Linked DNA regions of Saccharomyces cerevisiae S288C. Changing the gene in region 1 together with any one later gene gives a genetic interaction. Each region holds a gene or a part of one and is shown on either strand. Other genes may lie near its edges. The genes, in order: DOA4, VPS27, MOT2 and PKR1.

Region 1 (4,858 bases):
AAGAAATTATCAGCTTTCGTTTGATCAATTGTCCAGAGCTATGTTCAGGTCTTTTCATCAGAGAGATCGAGGGCAAAGAAGTTAAAAAGGAGACACTAATTGGTCATATTATGGGTACTAAGATACCTCATGAATACATTACTATCGAAAGCATGGGCAAATTACAAGTGGAATCGAGTAATCATATTGGTATTCACTCTGTAGTAATCAAGCCAGAATACCAGAAAAAAAACCTGGCTACTTTACTTTTAACTGACTACATTCAGAAATTGAGTAATCAGGAAATTGGTAACAAAATTGTCCTTATTGCTCACGAGCCATTGATACCATTTTATGAAAGAGTTGGTTTCAAGATCATTGCTGAGAACACCAATGTTGCTAAGGACAAAAACTTCGCAGAACAGAAATGGATCGATATGGAGAGAGAACTAATTAAGGAAGAATACGACAACTAGATCATTAGTTTAACGCACTTTACAAATGTCTAATTATAAATACTACATATAATTTTTGTATATTTTAAAATTGCCAAGTATAATTAAAATCATTACTACTGGTGCTACCCTACATCCTTGACCGTACTGAGATATCACTGCTTAATTCCGGTGATTGGGTTCTTTTCAGTTCTTGGAGAGATATACGTACTACCTTCCTTTTTTTTTAAGGATACCTTTACTGTAAAGGGTTTGTTCCTGTATCAACCCCTTCTTCCTGTACAGAATCTAAGGGAACCGTAAAAGCACATAAGTATATAAAGGTCCCAAGATTTGATTAGGTAGATATGGCCTTTGAGTTGGCTCTTAGTTTTTTTTGGCCTTGAATACTTGTTCCTACAATACTCCAACAGCAGTTGAAGCCAGACCGCAGTATCACATATATAATACACAGGAATATATTTGATAATGTTGAGAACCACTTTTTTGCGCACTCCAAGACAATTGATGCGTAAATCGCCAAGGGCGTCTTTCTCAATCGTCACTAGGGCCGCCTTTCCTCACCTAAAGAACAATCAAGATGAAGCTGAGAAAAAAGAACAGGGTTTGTTTGATAGCAACAAGAAGAGGTTGGACACTTTGGAACACGGCAAGAATCCAGATTATAAGCAACCTGGAATGGAAGATTTGAAAAAAAAGGGAGATGACGCTAGAATCGAACAAAACAGGCCAGATGACGGTGTTTATTAAGAAGCACTTGGTACAAACTCGTATATGCATGTAGTTTCTGTCATACACATATCTATATTCCTTCCCCCCTGGTCCTATCGTATTTAGTCATATCATATCATTTATTGATATCTATATAAGTGCAAAACTATAACCATTATTTATTTGCTTTCCACATTGTTTTACTTCATTTGCTTCAATATCGTTCATTACGTTTAGCGAATGGCTAAGGCCCTTGTATTAGTAAAAGCCTAGAAAAAAAAAAAAAAAAAAAAAAAAGGATATGATGTTATATGATACGTGTAGTTCATGTATTTATCTTCGGTAGTATAGGGCAGATTTAAGACTGAGTGTGCACGCTTCCAAAGTTTTTTTTACTATTTGATACATGCTTAAGTTATGGAGCAGAATATTATTAGTACCATAAGGGATGAGTGTATTCGTCACCGGTCGAAGTACCTTACGATAGCACAACTAACCGCTATTGCAGAGGCTAAAATTAACGAATTCATCATAACTGGTAAGGCAAAAGATCAAGATTTGAGCAGTCTTCTAGATAAATGCATCGATATTTTATCTATTTACAAGAAGAACTCGAAAGATATCAAAAATATTATATCGTGCAAAAATAAGGGTGCAATGATTAGTTCAAATTCCGTAATGATTATTCAATTAAATTATGTTTACTACAAGGTAATTCACATTATTGTAACAACCAATATTCCTCATTTAAGTGAATTCGCCAAGATTAAATTACATAAGAGCACGAGTGATGAGGGCAACGGTAATAACAACAATAATGAATTTCAACTCATGAACATTTACAACACTTTGCTGGAAACCTTATTAAAAGATGAAAACATTGCAAAAATAAAAAGTTTCATTAAGTCTTCCATAAAACAAACAAAATTGAACCATGAGCAAGAAGAATGTAACCTGATGAGAACGGGTTCCTATATCACTTCCAATCAATTAAACTCCCTAATAAGTTCATCAGCAAATTCTGCTTCCTCCCAAATGGAGATACTACTGATAGATATACGATCAAGGTTGGAATTCAACAAGTCACATATTGATACAAAAAATATTATATGCCTGGAGCCTATTTCTTTTAAAATGTCATATTCAGATCATGATTTGGAGAAAAAATCATTAATTACTTCTCCTAATAGTGAGATTAAAATGTTTCAAAGTAGAAATCTTTTCAAGTTTATCATTCTCTATACAGACGCAAACGAATACAATGTTAAACAGCAGTCTGTCCTGTTGGACATTCTGGTGAATCATTCCTTTGAAAAACCAATATCCGATGACTTTACCAAAATTTTCATTCTGGAATCTGGTTTTCCAGGTTGGCTTAAGTCAAATTATGGGAGGCAAGTATCATCATCTTTTCCATCAAATAACAATATTAAAGATGATAGTGTTTATATTAATGGTAACACTTCTGGCCTAAGTTTACAACATTTACCTAAGATGTCTCCCAGTATAAGACATTCAATGGACGACTCTATGAAAGAAATGCTAGTTGCGCCTACTCCATTAAATCATCTTCAACAACAGCAACAACAGCAATCAGACAATGATCATGTGCTAAAAAGATCTTCAAGTTTCAAAAAATTATTCTCAAATTATACGTCTCCTAATCCGAAGAATTCAAATTCAAACTTATATTCTATATCTTCGTTGTCCATATCTAGTTCACCATCGCCTTTACCTCTACATTCGCCTGACCCAGTTAAGGGCAATTCATTGCCAATCAATTATCCGGAAACGCCACATCTTTGGAAAAACAGTGAGACAGATTTTATGACAAATCAAAGAGAACAGTTGAATCACAACTCTTTTGCTCACATAGCTCCTATCAACACGAAGGCCATCACTTCTCCATCAAGAACTGCCACACCGAAGTTACAACGCTTCCCGCAAACAATTAGTATGAACCTTAATATGAACTCCAATGGACACAGTTCTGCCACCTCTACCATTCAACCTTCGTGTCTATCCTTGTCTAATAATGACTCTTTAGATCATACAGATGTTACACCAACTTCTTCTCATAATTATGACCTTGATTTCGCGGTTGGTTTGGAAAATCTAGGAAATTCGTGTTACATGAACTGTATCATTCAGTGTATCTTAGGTACACACGAATTAACCCAAATCTTTTTGGACGATTCATATGCTAAACACATCAATATTAATAGTAAGTTGGGATCGAAAGGTATTCTGGCAAAATATTTTGCAAGGTTGGTTCATATGATGTATAAGGAACAGGTTGATGGTTCAAAGAAAATTTCCATATCACCGATAAAATTTAAATTGGCATGTGGATCTGTTAACTCATTATTTAAGACTGCATCCCAACAGGACTGCCAAGAGTTTTGCCAATTCCTTCTAGATGGTCTTCATGAAGACTTGAACCAATGCGGTTCAAACCCACCTTTGAAGGAGCTTTCTCAAGAAGCTGAGGCGAGAAGAGAAAAACTGTCTTTGCGAATTGCCTCGTCAATTGAGTGGGAACGATTCTTGACTACTGATTTCAGTGTTATTGTCGACTTATTTCAGGGACAATACGCCTCACGACTAAAATGTAAAGTCTGTAGTCATACCTCGACAACATACCAACCTTTTACGGTGCTGTCAATCCCTATTCCTAAAAAAAATTCCCGAAATAATATTACCATTGAAGATTGTTTCAGAGAGTTCACCAAATGTGAGAACTTGGAAGTGGATGAGCAATGGTTGTGCCCACATTGTGAAAAAAGGCAGCCCTCCACGAAACAATTGACAATAACGAGATTACCGAGGAATCTGATAGTCCATTTAAAGAGATTTGATAATTTATTAAACAAAAATAATGACTTCGTCATATACCCTTTTTTGTTGGACTTGACTCCATTTTGGGCCAATGATTTTGACGGGGTTTTTCCTCCAGGTGTTAATGACGATGAACTACCAATAAGGGGACAAATACCACCTTTTAAGTATGAATTATATGGTGTAGCATGCCACTTTGGTACTTTGTATGGTGGTCATTATACAGCCTATGTGAAAAAGGGATTAAAGAAGGGATGGCTATATTTTGATGATACCAAATATAAACCTGTCAAAAACAAAGCCGATGCAATTAACTCTAATGCATACGTTTTGTTTTATCACCGCGTCTACGGTGTTTGATTCATTTGAATAAATAACTGAAAACCGTTGTCTATACACTTTTTTTCCCGTTCAACATGGCATATCATTATTTCCATCTAAGGTCAAAGTAAAAAACCCTAAATACAAATGATTTATTTTAACGGTAACAAACGAACTTTTTTTTAGAAGGTGTAAAGATGAGATCACGCCCAGATTTTGTCTTCCTCCTGTGCATCTCTTGGATTGATGATTTTCCTTTCTACCATAATACGTCATGAAAAGTATGTAAATATTTATAGCATTACATATATCTTTTATATGAAAAAAATCACTCATTCCCAGTCATCATCGTCGTCGTCGTCCTTGCTCTCATCCTTGTTGGCGAGGCCAACATGGTCACTAACATCTTTCAATCCCTCTTGAGACACAGCAACTTTCGTCTCCCCTTTAGATTTGTTGTCAGCTACTGCTTCTACTTTGTCATCATCTTCTTCTTCTTCTTCGTCATCCCACTCAACTTCTTTTTCCTCCGTTTCCTTTTCCTTTTTGGACAA
Region 2 (4,431 bases), on another chromosome or scaffold:
GAAGGAAAGAGCTGCAGGAAGAACAAGAGCTGGACGGTGTCGGAGACTGGGAGGATTTACAAGACGATATTGATGATTCGTTACGGGTAGACCAATACTTGATTGTTTTCTTAAAGTTTATTACTAGTGTTACACCGAGTATACAACATGACTATACCATGGAAGGTTGGTAAAAATTTGTGTTTTTTCACTATTAGCTGCAAGCCAGGTGGTCAAAAAACAGGATAAACAAGAAGATAGGAATTAACTATAAATATGCAGGAACAAGTTTCTTCCTTAAAACCACTTTCTTAAAATGGTCCTTCCTTTGTCTATATTGATACTTTTTTTTTTGACGGTTTCAATGTTAATACTGACATAAATTATGAATATTCACCTTAAAAACTAGTTTAATGACAGAAATATGTATAAGTTGCGTAACAAGCAATTATATATATATGTATGTATATATTTATAAGCGCTAGGTTTCTTTTTACAAATACATAGAAAAGGCTACAATATTAAAGCTCTATTAGCAGTTCCTCTTGAGGACTAGGCGGCCTTTCCTCTTTGATCGGAATTTCAGAGGAACTTGCAGGAAGTGGTACAGTTGACTCCGGTTGGACGAATTTGCGTGCAGGAACAGTTGGAAAATCGTAACGTGTAATGCCTTGAGGCCGTTTATTTATTGAAGTTTCACCATTCTCTGTTTCTACTGGATACGGCCTTTCGCGGGATTCTTGTGTGGAGGATTCCTCATCTTGCACTGCCTGTGTTCCTTCATCTTCGGCCTCTTCTTTTGGATAAGGTGGGTCCGAAGGTGCAAGTTCAACGTGCGATTGAGGCTTTTGCTGTGCGTGTGGTGTCACATCGATGGTTTTCAAGTGATCAATATTAGTGGTAGGTGATGAATTTGCTTTTACCGATTGTTGGCGTGAGACATCCTGTTGTGGTTTGTATTGATGAGATGATAGTTGCTGGAGGGGAGGTGTTTGATAGCTTTCTGCTGGATTTTGCACATTTTCTGTTAGGTAATTGTACGGATCAGAAGGGACTTGTGGAAGTGTGTATTGCTGAGACAAATTGATGCTTTGTAGCTGTTGCTCCAATAATCTATCGTATATGTTCATAATTTCCGAAATCTTGCCGTTCATTTCTATCAAAGTATTGTATTTCTGAGCTTTATCATTTAAAGCATAATTCAACCTTGCTTTGGAAGCAAATACTCTTTGAGCCAAGTTTTGTAATTTAGAGTCTTCCAAAATTTCGTTCAAGGGCCTCGATTTCATTTTTTCGACAAGTGAAGCAAACATGTATATGCTGTCTTTCTCCTCATCAGATAAATCAACGGAATGGATAGGTTGAGGTTGAGGTGATGGCTGTTGGGGTTGCATCTGTCTAGAGGCTTTTTGACGCTCACTGCGTAGCTTCGCTTCTTCAGCTTCTCTCAAGCTTTCCTGAATAGCAGCTTTTAAATCAGGATCTTCTTCTTCTTCTATTTCTTGTCTCTTCACCTCATTCTTTGATTCTACAACGGGGACAATAGGCTCGCTACTAGCGCTATTTCTAGATTCTTTCAAGGAGAGTTCTATTGCTTTCCTTATCAGCTCTTCTTCATCCTCAGGAGTTGAGTAGTCCCTGTCCTTCTTTCTTTTATGGCGATGTTTTTTAGATTTTTTACTGTCGTCATGTCTCTTCAAATCGTAATCTTCAAAGCAGCTATCACATACTCTGACTGGCTCATATATACCCAAATCAGGTAAGGGTATACTATTTGATGAGTGTTCTTGGCAGAAAACTCCACCACAGGAACGACAGTGATGTTTCCTATTTAGTAGAGAAAACTTTTTGGAGCAAATCATACAAGCATCAGAATCAATCCAATCTGCGGGCGTCTTCGAGTCAAACATTGCAGTCGGAGAATTGGAAAGTGTTAGCTTTTCAGGGAATTTAATGCCACGAGAGATTAATTTATCATAAACTTTTGCCACATAGTTAAGTTGCGAATCATTTTTGAAGGCTACGTATAGTTCATATAATATGGTCTTTACCAGCTCAGAAAGTTCTTCGTTGCTATCTTCTCTTAAAATGACATGTTCCATGGTATCCATGAACTCTCTGGAACAAATTTCCTTAATAAAAGGCGTTCCACCATTTTTTACACATATATTGGTAAGCTTCCAGGAAGACAATTGGGTATTTGGATTATCGGCCGTATTGAGAATCCTTTTCTTTATACAACGCATAGAATCTTTGGGATTTACCCTTCTAGATCTTAACACATCTGAAATTTCCAACGCTATGGGGAGATCAAGGTCACCGTTGGGAATGCTCTCACTAGTGGCTTGTTCTATTAATGCGTCTAACTCACTTGGCGTGCTAACGGACATACTGTTCTTAGTTCTTTACTCACTACTCATTCACCTTAGCAAAAAAAAATCTTGATAATTTTACACCCTCTATTTTTAAATTCCCTCTGCTAATGATGATTATTTCAGGTATCATCGAAATTTTCAGAAAAGGAGGCCGAGCAAGATGATTCTGCTGCTCCGCAAGAAATAGCAGTAGCGTATGTATTACCAAAATCCAAAATCTTGTGAAGGTTACTTTATATAAGTGAGGCTCAAAGGACACCAGGCGTCTATAAATGTATACAAAGTAGCTGTTTTGACATATTACCAAAAAATCGGGAAAATACCTAGGTTGGTTAATGATGAACTCGAAAGAGCCTTAAGAAAAGTTGATTCAACAACATATGGTGTATGGTCGCTCCGAACAGTTTGCTTTTGTCTAGTACATAGTTACTGGTGAACTTTCCTGGATATGCGCGTGCTAACTAGAGCATTTTATGTTGATAATTAATTTAAATTGCATGATACAGATTACGAGACGAAAGATAGTCGATTATATATCTTTCAATCTTGGTTTAGTTTGGCAGCAAAAGCTAAAAGGTAGGCTCCGTGCATATTAGATGAGTGAACACACTTTAGGTTTATTCTTGTATGAAATCATTCACTTCGACCTCTTCCAAGATCAAATTCTCTAATGGATTACTTATGAGTTTACCAAATTCGTCAAATTCCAACCTGACTACATTCAAATTCTTAACATATGAGACATCAATCTCATCCTTAATGATATTATCAGCAGGCGGAGGATCCTTCAACTTTTTATATTCCTTGCCCTTCAAAACATACCACAGGTTAAGGCATCTTCTTATAATTTCCGGATTGACTGTCTTCGCACCTTCTTCGTTCCATTTATGGAAATTAGAACGACAAATTTTTAGAGCTCTAGACTTTAAATGTGCATTTCTTGCTATATTCTGAAAATATGGCTCCAATACTGCGGAGTATTCCTTCGGAATTCGATTCAAGTCCGTTAATCCGTCTAGTAAACCTTCTAAGTTAGAGTAATTGTATAAATCTATCATCCGAGGAGATCCTCTTCTCTTTGCTTATGCATTTAGTCTCCTTTGATTTCTCAAGTTTATAATTTTTTTCTTTTTTTCTCACTTTTTAATACCTTTTAATAGCCGCTATTTTTTTAATTTTAGTTAAGTTTTCTTCTAATTTTGAATATAAAAAGTCATCTTATAACTAGTACATTTTATATGAAGGAGTTTCTATAGGTTTTAAAGGTGTGCAAAAAAAAAAAACAGCGTTAAAAGGCTACGAGTAAAACCAGATTCTTGGAAGACTTTGCTTACATGTGAGCAATTGAGAAGAAAAGGCAGGGGGCATTAAACGTTACGGCTACGGTTCGTCCGCACTACTCACTACATCGCCTACCGTAGCATACCTACGCTCACCCATTGCCATACCCACAGTAAATATGTAAATCGTTTATTAAAATGTTTAAGCCCTTGTTTGGTAGTATATTTAGAATCCAACTAGATGATATTGCAATTATTTAATCTTTTTGTTTTTAAGTAACATCGCGCACAGGCACTTTTTTTTTCCTTCAAATCTTTTATTGTATTAAAAATTTTCAAGTTGATTTGCGATGTATTTGTGAGATGAGATCATTACAGAAAATCTTAATCAAGTGAAGAATTTACAGCGCCAATATCCTGAATATGAGTGGAATGATAGAAAATGGGTTACAGCTATCGGACAATGCTAAAACCTTACATAGCCAGATGATGTCGAAAGGAATAGGCGCATTATTTACACAGCAAGAACTCCAAAAACAAATGGGAATCGGGTCGTTAACAGACTTGATGTCCATTGTACAGGAATTGCTAGACAAGAACTTGATCAAATTAGTAAAACAAAACGACGAATTAAAATTTCAAGGTGTCTTAGAATCTGAGGCGCAAAAGAAAGCCACCATGTCGGCTGAAGAGGCACTGGTATATTCTTATATCGAGGCTAGCGGTAGAGAAGGGATATGGTCCAAGACTATCAAGGCAAGAACCAATCTCCATCAGCATGTAGTTCTTAAATGCTT
Region 3 (4,255 bases), on another chromosome or scaffold:
ATGCATTGGGCCATGCAGTAATTATCACACTCACTTTGTCATAATGTATACAATGGCCGCTTATTTGCGACTCGTCTCATATTTTTCCTGAAACTGTAGCTGTGTGTAATATTATTCATTAACTTCGATAATTCGGCTACAGAAGACAAGAGCTACATCCTTACTGGTGCGAATAAATGACATAATCTGTCAAGAGTACCGAAGTAAAAGCAACGATTGCCGAACACATCTTCCTGAAGTATCATATGCCAATACAAGGTTTCAATAGGAATTATGAAAGCGGCATTATCACCCTTAATCTGAAATATGTAATGATGACGGTGCAGTATGTTGACTACATTGTAAAGTTGCACTTTCACTCAACTCATGAAATTGATGACATTAATCCTACGTGACTTACACATATGCCATGAACGAAGAAGGTGGCACCAAAAATCCAGCGTTTCCGATATACACGCAGTCAAATGTTCAGACTAAACTTTGGTATTCTGACAACGTGTTGTCATACCTGTTACGAGCCAGAAACGTATTTCTTTTTGGGTGATACAATCTCCAGATGACTGCTTTTTTTTTTTTTACCCCAGATTCAGGGGCCGAAGGAACGGAAATGCGGTGTGGCGAGATTGCGGATGTGCTAAAAAATAATATCCTCGAGGCAACCAGCATAATGTGGACGGCTCTCGGCAATTGACTTCCATAACAAATGCATCCTGTAATCAGGGGTATTATAAGTTACTGTATGGTTAATTAAATATAGAATGAAAGGGGCAGCGTTCTTAAGGGGTATTGCTGGGTGGAAAAATACAAGTGTCTTTACTTGATTGTGTGCACATATATAAGGCAAAAGATTTCTAGCGTATATTTGAATCTTTTGTTCTTCCACGTTCAAATTTCTTTGGTCAAAACATTTCATAAAGGGACAAGTTCTGCATTGTATTCTAATAATTGCCCATAGAACATATAAATTAGGTATCGACTGTTTTCGTCTCCACTTTAAATGACAAAGAAGGATAAGAAGGAAGTAAAAGTTCAAACGGTTACCACGGAGGATGGTGAAACCGTGAAAGTTTTTGAAGACCTGCAGGGTTTTGAAACTTTCATTGCCAATGAAACTGAAGATGATGATTTCGATCATTTGCACTGTAAATTAAATTACTACCCACCATTTGTGCTACACGAGTCGCACGAGGACCCTGAAAAAATTAGTGATGCTGCAAATTCTCATTCTAAGAAGTTCGTGCGTCACCTGCACCAGCATATTGAAAAGCATCTTTTGAAAGATATTAAGCAAGCCGTTAGGAAACCTGAGCTTAAATTTCACGAAAAATCGAAGGAAGAGACATTTGATAAAATCACCTGGCATTACGGTGAGGAAACTGAATACCATGGTAGACCTTTCAAGATAGACGTTCAAGTAGTTTGCACACATGAAGATGCTATGGTATTTGTCGATTACAAAACACATCCTGTAGGCGCAAATTAAAGGTTGTGTCATAGAGAATGTGTTAGTACTGAATCCTAACCTCCCAAATTCATAAGTAGTTTTATGTACCTTTAATGATTTACGATTAGCAACTTTTTGAATTTTTTTTATTGAAATGTTGAGCCCGAAGACGTGAAACGCTATAAAGTAGTATCACTGTTACGCCGCGAAACCTGATAATGTATTGTTAAACTACTACCTGGTCGATGATTATATCGACGCTTCTAAAATGAATGCTATTACCCGAACTTCCACTTGATTGCCGTCTCTTCCCGGGTAACATTGTAAGTGTGAATATGATTTTTTTTTTTGCTTTCTCTTTTCAAAATTTCCGAAAAGCATATCAAGACGTGTACTACATACAGTAAAAGCCCTCCTAGGGTTTTCAGTAGTGGTTCGAATAGTATAGATTACTGCTTTTGTTACTCTGCAACAATCCCAAAACTTAATAAAAAGTACAAAAGACCAAATAAAAGTATCGTATATAATCCAGTCATAATGATGAATCCACACGTTCAAGAAAATTTGCAAGCAATCCACAACGCCTTAAGCAATTTTGATACGTCATTTTTATCGGAGGATGAAGAAGATTATTGCCCTCTTTGTATTGAACCAATGGATATTACTGATAAAAATTTTTTTCCTTGTCCCTGTGGTTATCAAATTTGTCAATTTTGCTACAATAATATCAGACAAAATCCAGAATTAAATGGCCGTTGCCCAGCATGTCGTCGTAAATATGATGACGAGAACGTCAGATACGTCACATTATCTCCGGAGGAGTTAAAAATGGAGAGAGCCAAGCTCGCTAGGAAGGAGAAAGAAAGAAAGCATAGAGAAAAAGAACGTAAAGAGAATGAATATACGAATAGGAAACATTTATCTGGTACCAGAGTTATCCAAAAGAATTTAGTGTACGTTGTTGGCATCAATCCTCCTGTTCCATACGAGGAAGTTGCGCCCACTCTGAAATCTGAAAAATATTTTGGCCAATATGGTAAGATAAATAAGATTGTGGTTAATAGAAAAACACCCCATTCTAACAACACAACCAGCGAGCATTATCACCATCATTCACCAGGATATGGCGTTTACATAACCTTCGGATCCAAGGACGATGCTGCAAGATGTATAGCTCAGGTAGACGGGACGTATATGGATGGCCGCCTGATCAAAGCTGCCTACGGTACTACTAAATACTGTTCTTCTTATTTAAGAGGATTGCCATGCCCAAATCCCAACTGTATGTTTTTGCATGAACCTGGTGAAGAAGCTGATTCTTTTAATAAAAGAGAACTCCACAATAAACAACAAGCGCAACAGCAAAGTGGCGGAACTGCATTCACTAGATCTGGAATACACAACAATATATCTACCAGTACCGCTGGTTCAAATACCAATTTACTAAGTGAAAATTTCACAGGCACACCTTCACCGGCGGCGATGAGGGCTCAGTTACATCATGACAGCCATACAAACGCTGGAACACCGGTATTAACACCTGCTCCGGTCCCTGCAGGGTCAAATCCTTGGGGAGTTACTCAATCAGCAACACCTGTAACCTCTATCAATCTCTCTAAAAACAGCAGCTCCATAAACTTGCCAACATTAAATGATTCTCTGGGCCATCATACTACCCCCACAACAGAGAATACCATCACAAGTACGACAACTACTACCAATACCAATGCTACAAGTCACTCCCATGGTAGCAAGAAGAAGCAATCTCTTGCTGCAGAGGAATACAAAGATCCTTATGACGCACTAGGGAATGCTGTTGACTTTTTGGATGCAAGACTACATTCTCTATCAAATTATCAGAAGCGCCCTATATCTATCAAATCCAATATTATTGACGAAGAAACTTATAAAAAGTATCCGTCTTTGTTTTCTTGGGACAAGATTGAGGCCTCAAAGAAAAGTGACAATACATTAGCCAACAAACTTGTGGAGATCCTGGCTATAAAGCCAATAGACTACACTGCTTCTGTCGTTCAATTCTTGCAGAGTGTCAATGTTGGTGTAAATGACAATATTACAATCACAGATAATACGAAAACTCCCACCCAACCAATAAGACTGCAAACCGTCTCACAGCAAATCCAACCACCATTAAACGTCAGTACCCCTCCACCGGGTATCTTTGGTCCACAACATAAGGTTCCTATTCAGCAGCAACAAATGGGTGATACAAGCTCAAGAAATTCCTCTGATTTACTAAATCAACTAATCAACGGAAGGAAAATTATCGCCGGTAATTAATCCGACTCTAAATATTTTTCTTGTTTGCATTAACCATAATTTTATCTATTTTTATTTCTCATGAATATATAATCTCTCCGTTTATAACGAAATGCAAGAAAAAAAAATCTCACCCATTTTTTTAAACCTTTGACGTGGAAAGGTATCTGGGAAAGGTATCTGGCTAATGAATAATGCCATAGCATATACCAGTATAGTCTATTTACTCGTTACAACGTATGAAAGCGTCAGCGCTGCAAGAATGACTAATTCATAGAAAATAATCATCATGATATATATCATAATGCACGGAACCTGCTTCGCTAATTTTTTCACTTAAATCACATTTTTTCAACGAAATCTCTTGCGCAGTTGGTTGGAATTCTTATCCGAATGACTCAGTCTACATCAAAAAACTGTGGCCGAATGGTGGTAATTGATGACTCTTCTATTTTTTTTTTTCATATAAAGAGCTTGCGCGCGTGTTGTTGTTCGCTATCCATTTCCATTAGGAACATTTTTGGATATTAT
Region 4 (2,795 bases), on another chromosome or scaffold:
TGTTGCCATGGTCGATAAACCTGCATCCATTTTGAACTTTTTATAAATAGTCTTTGAGTACTTTTTATCCCACTGCTTTATCGGATCAGGCTGTACCTCTCTGCTCTTTTTGTAGGGTTATTAATAGCTCGGTGAAAATTAATGAAAGAAAGCTCCAAATTTAGCTATAGCCGTAAACTAAAAAAAAAAAAATTAGGAGGGCAGTCACTAAAACAAAAAATCAGAATTCCTATGCAATGTGCTGCTGACACAGTTACTTGAAATGCCTATTTATTCACAATTTGAAGGGTTTGCGATGCTGAAAGAGTTGTTCTATTCAGTCGCACGCGTTAACTCTTTGCATGTGCTTCATTTGTCCATAATTGAGCCCAAAATTTGATTTAAAAAAAAGGAATTTTTGAAAAAAAAAAAATATCAGGGGAGACCCTGAAGCGGACAAAAAAATTTACAATTGCGGACATTTACCCGGAAGCTCTGTGATATACTAATAACAGAGATAATTATGTAGTCAATTATGTATCTGTCTATGCTTTTCTTGACCTAGATTGTGCTTGAGTCCGTCTGGCAGTACTAGTGGATTTCCCGCTTTCTTGCTTGTCTTCGCTGTCTTCCTTGATGGCACTGTCGTCCTTTTTATTGGCATCTTTATCCAGCTCATCATTATCCTTCAATTTGACGTGTGATAATTCGTTTATAAACCAGATAACGGTAATCCATAGTAAAAGTGATATACAGAAAAGAGCATAGAAGTGGATATTCCCGTTTGTGGCATAGATGAGCCAGATGAGGGTCAGTAGTAGTGCAACAAAAGATACGTGTGTGGCGATGATCAGCTGGGGGGAGGTCCCTGGTTCAAATACACTTTCCCACAGTCTAACAAAAAAATTGGCCATTTTGAGAAATTTTCGAAGTTATATCCCTGCGATTTTTGGCACTAATCAATTAGATGGACGTGTTCTTGGATATGACAAAAAGAAAAGACCATCTCTATTTTTCTTCATTTGATTTTCAGTCAAGCAAAAAACGCCGGGTAAACGCAGTCAAAGAAAATTAAAGAACATCTGCTATACCCTACCATGTTCTTAAAATATGAATGCGCTATTCAGGTTCATAGGCAAAGTTTTCACATGTCACTCGCCAAATAAAAATCAAAATTGAAATATATAGGTAAATAGATTGATAAAAAGACGTAATTAATCACCTGTACATCTTCAATTGGAGTTTCTGAGACACCGATATCTAGGACGAAAGAAACAACGGTAAATGATGATACCGTGCTTCGAGCAGACAGGGTCAGTAATCATACCAACAGAAAAATTCTCTTTGGTATAAGTAACGGTGTTACTGCCGGAAATACTCCCGAGAAAAACAGAACCTTCACTGGTTTTAATATTCACCTCAATGTAAGTGATGGTCTGACTTTGCCCTTATAATTAGCAGCAGCAGGAGTGGCGACACCAGAGATTAGGCACTAGTGAGGAGAAGAGATAGTCTGACTGGCCATTTTAGTTAATGGATATATAGTTTCCCATCTATTGAAAGGAGTGGAAACTATAACTGAAAACTGGGTTCTTGAGCAGGAATACTGCTTGTATACTTTTCTTGTATTTCACTGCTTCCTGTCCGATGCGCTAGCACGATGGAGCTCGGCAAAGAAAGACAGAGGAGAGAAACATCCTGAGGATTTTGCTTTGTGCAGAAAAGGTTCCATCCCTGCAATAAGGGTCCTCTTTGCTGCGGAAATTCGAAGAAACGAGATAACCATCCTGGGTTGTAGCGACCTCATCACCACCTAGACCCCTCGGTATGCAGCCAAAATCCATTTGTGTTTGCCTAAGGCACGGAATGGGAAATAAAGTATTTTAGATTGCATACGCATTTTCCCTCTGGGTAGGGAGTTGGTAAAAAAAAAATAGACAGAGTAGATTCGTAATAACTTAAATGGCTAAAGCGTGGGTACATCAGTGCAAACAAATACGATATTACCGTACCAATTGCACACTTCTTGGTAAGAAAAACTGGGAGCACACCTTACCCATAAAAAAGTGCATCGTTATTCCCATGGATAGGAAGAATAAGAATATATCACTCCTGCCTCCAGAATAGTAAATCTGTTTTCTCAGTAAATTATCCCTTTGAAACCTTACTGGATTTGGCTGTCATTGGTCGTAATTGCCCACAATTGAGGTTGCATTCTAAATGTTTCTTCCAATCAAAAATCAGTTAGATAAGTACCTTGGATGCCATTACATCGGGAAGCCCCTTTACTCAGAAGCCCGTTAGTTTCTTGAGTACTCCGATATAATTCCCCTATTTCTACAAATGCTACATAAAAAAATGCTGTGAATAAAGTCGCTAACAACAACTACTTATCGTGACTTGTCTAAAAAAAAAAAAACCTACATTTCAGAGTTAAAATAAATCTAAAGGTGCCACTGGAAAGAGTTATATGCGAGCTCCAGGTTCATATTCAAAAACATGACATCTTACTTTCTCTCGCGGTTGTGACCTCCTTCAATGAATTTGATATTGCTAACCAACAATCATCAATATTTTTGTTTTACCCGTCTTCTCGTTTTCTGAACGTGACACTAGCAATGTCAGACGTTCATTCTCACTTTCTGTCACGTGCTCGCATTGCGAGCAAAAAAAGCCTTACCACCACTCGATTAATCTAATGAGTTGCTGTATTAATAAATAAATTTTTATATTAAAATATATTATAGGAAACATGCAATGGCCCAATTGGCCTAAATATATATAACTCCCACAAGTTCGCCCACCTCTTCATTGGT

What was found.
Region 2: of DOA4 (region 1) and VPS27, a mutation in one rescues a mutant of the other (synthetic rescue), as found in Saccharomyces cerevisiae (5 studies listed by BioGRID, with this or other methods).
Region 3: mutations in DOA4 (region 1) and MOT2 are lethal when combined (synthetic lethality), as found in Saccharomyces cerevisiae (2 studies listed by BioGRID).
Region 4: mutations in DOA4 (region 1) and PKR1 together harm fitness more than expected from each alone (negative genetic interaction), as found in Saccharomyces cerevisiae (2 studies listed by BioGRID).

The regions. Positions count from the first base shown.
Region 1 is NC_001136.10:584,424-589,281, reverse strand, and holds DOA4 (ubiquitin-specific protease DOA4), read left to right. Parts: upstream 1-1,562; coding exon 1,563-4,343; downstream 4,344-4,858. Other genes in the region: PAA1 (polyamine acetyltransferase), read left to right, coding at 1-455; FMP16 (Fmp16p), read left to right, coding at 903-1,184; DOS2 (Dos2p), read right to left, coding at 4,637-4,858. UniProt on the Saccharomyces cerevisiae protein: Ubiquitin thioesterase that acts at the late endosome/prevacuolar compartment to recover ubiquitin from ubiquitinated membrane proteins en route to the vacuole. Also removes ubiquitin from soluble proteins targeted to proteasomes.
Region 2 is NC_001146.8:634,924-639,354, reverse strand, and holds VPS27 (ESCRT-0 subunit protein VPS27), read right to left. Parts: upstream 2,370-4,431; coding exon 501-2,369; downstream 1-500. Other genes in the region: ATG3 (Atg3p), read left to right, coding at 1-173; SWM2 (Swm2p), read right to left, coding at 2,972-3,412; RPC34 (DNA-directed RNA polymerase III subunit C34), read left to right, coding at 4,058-4,431. UniProt on the Saccharomyces cerevisiae protein: Component of the ESCRT-0 complex which is the sorting receptor for ubiquitinated cargo proteins at the multivesicular body (MVB) and recruits ESCRT-I to the MVB outer membrane.
Region 3 is NC_001137.3:291,069-295,323, forward strand, and holds MOT2 (CCR4-NOT core ubiquitin-protein ligase subunit MOT2), read left to right. Parts: upstream 1-1,981; coding exon 1,982-3,745; downstream 3,746-4,255. Other genes in the region: RGI1 (Rgi1p), read left to right, coding at 998-1,483. UniProt on the Saccharomyces cerevisiae protein: E3 ubiquitin-protein ligase component of the CCR4-NOT core complex, which in the nucleus seems to be a general transcription factor, and in the cytoplasm the major mRNA deadenylase involved in mRNA turnover.
Region 4 is NC_001145.3:511,691-514,485, reverse strand, and holds PKR1 (Pkr1p), read right to left. Parts: upstream 894-2,795; coding exon 525-893; downstream 1-524. Other genes in the region: EPO1 (Epo1p), read right to left, coding at 1-30. UniProt on the Saccharomyces cerevisiae protein: Functions together with the other V-type ATPase assembly factors in the endoplasmic reticulum to efficiently assemble the V-type ATPase membrane sector V(0).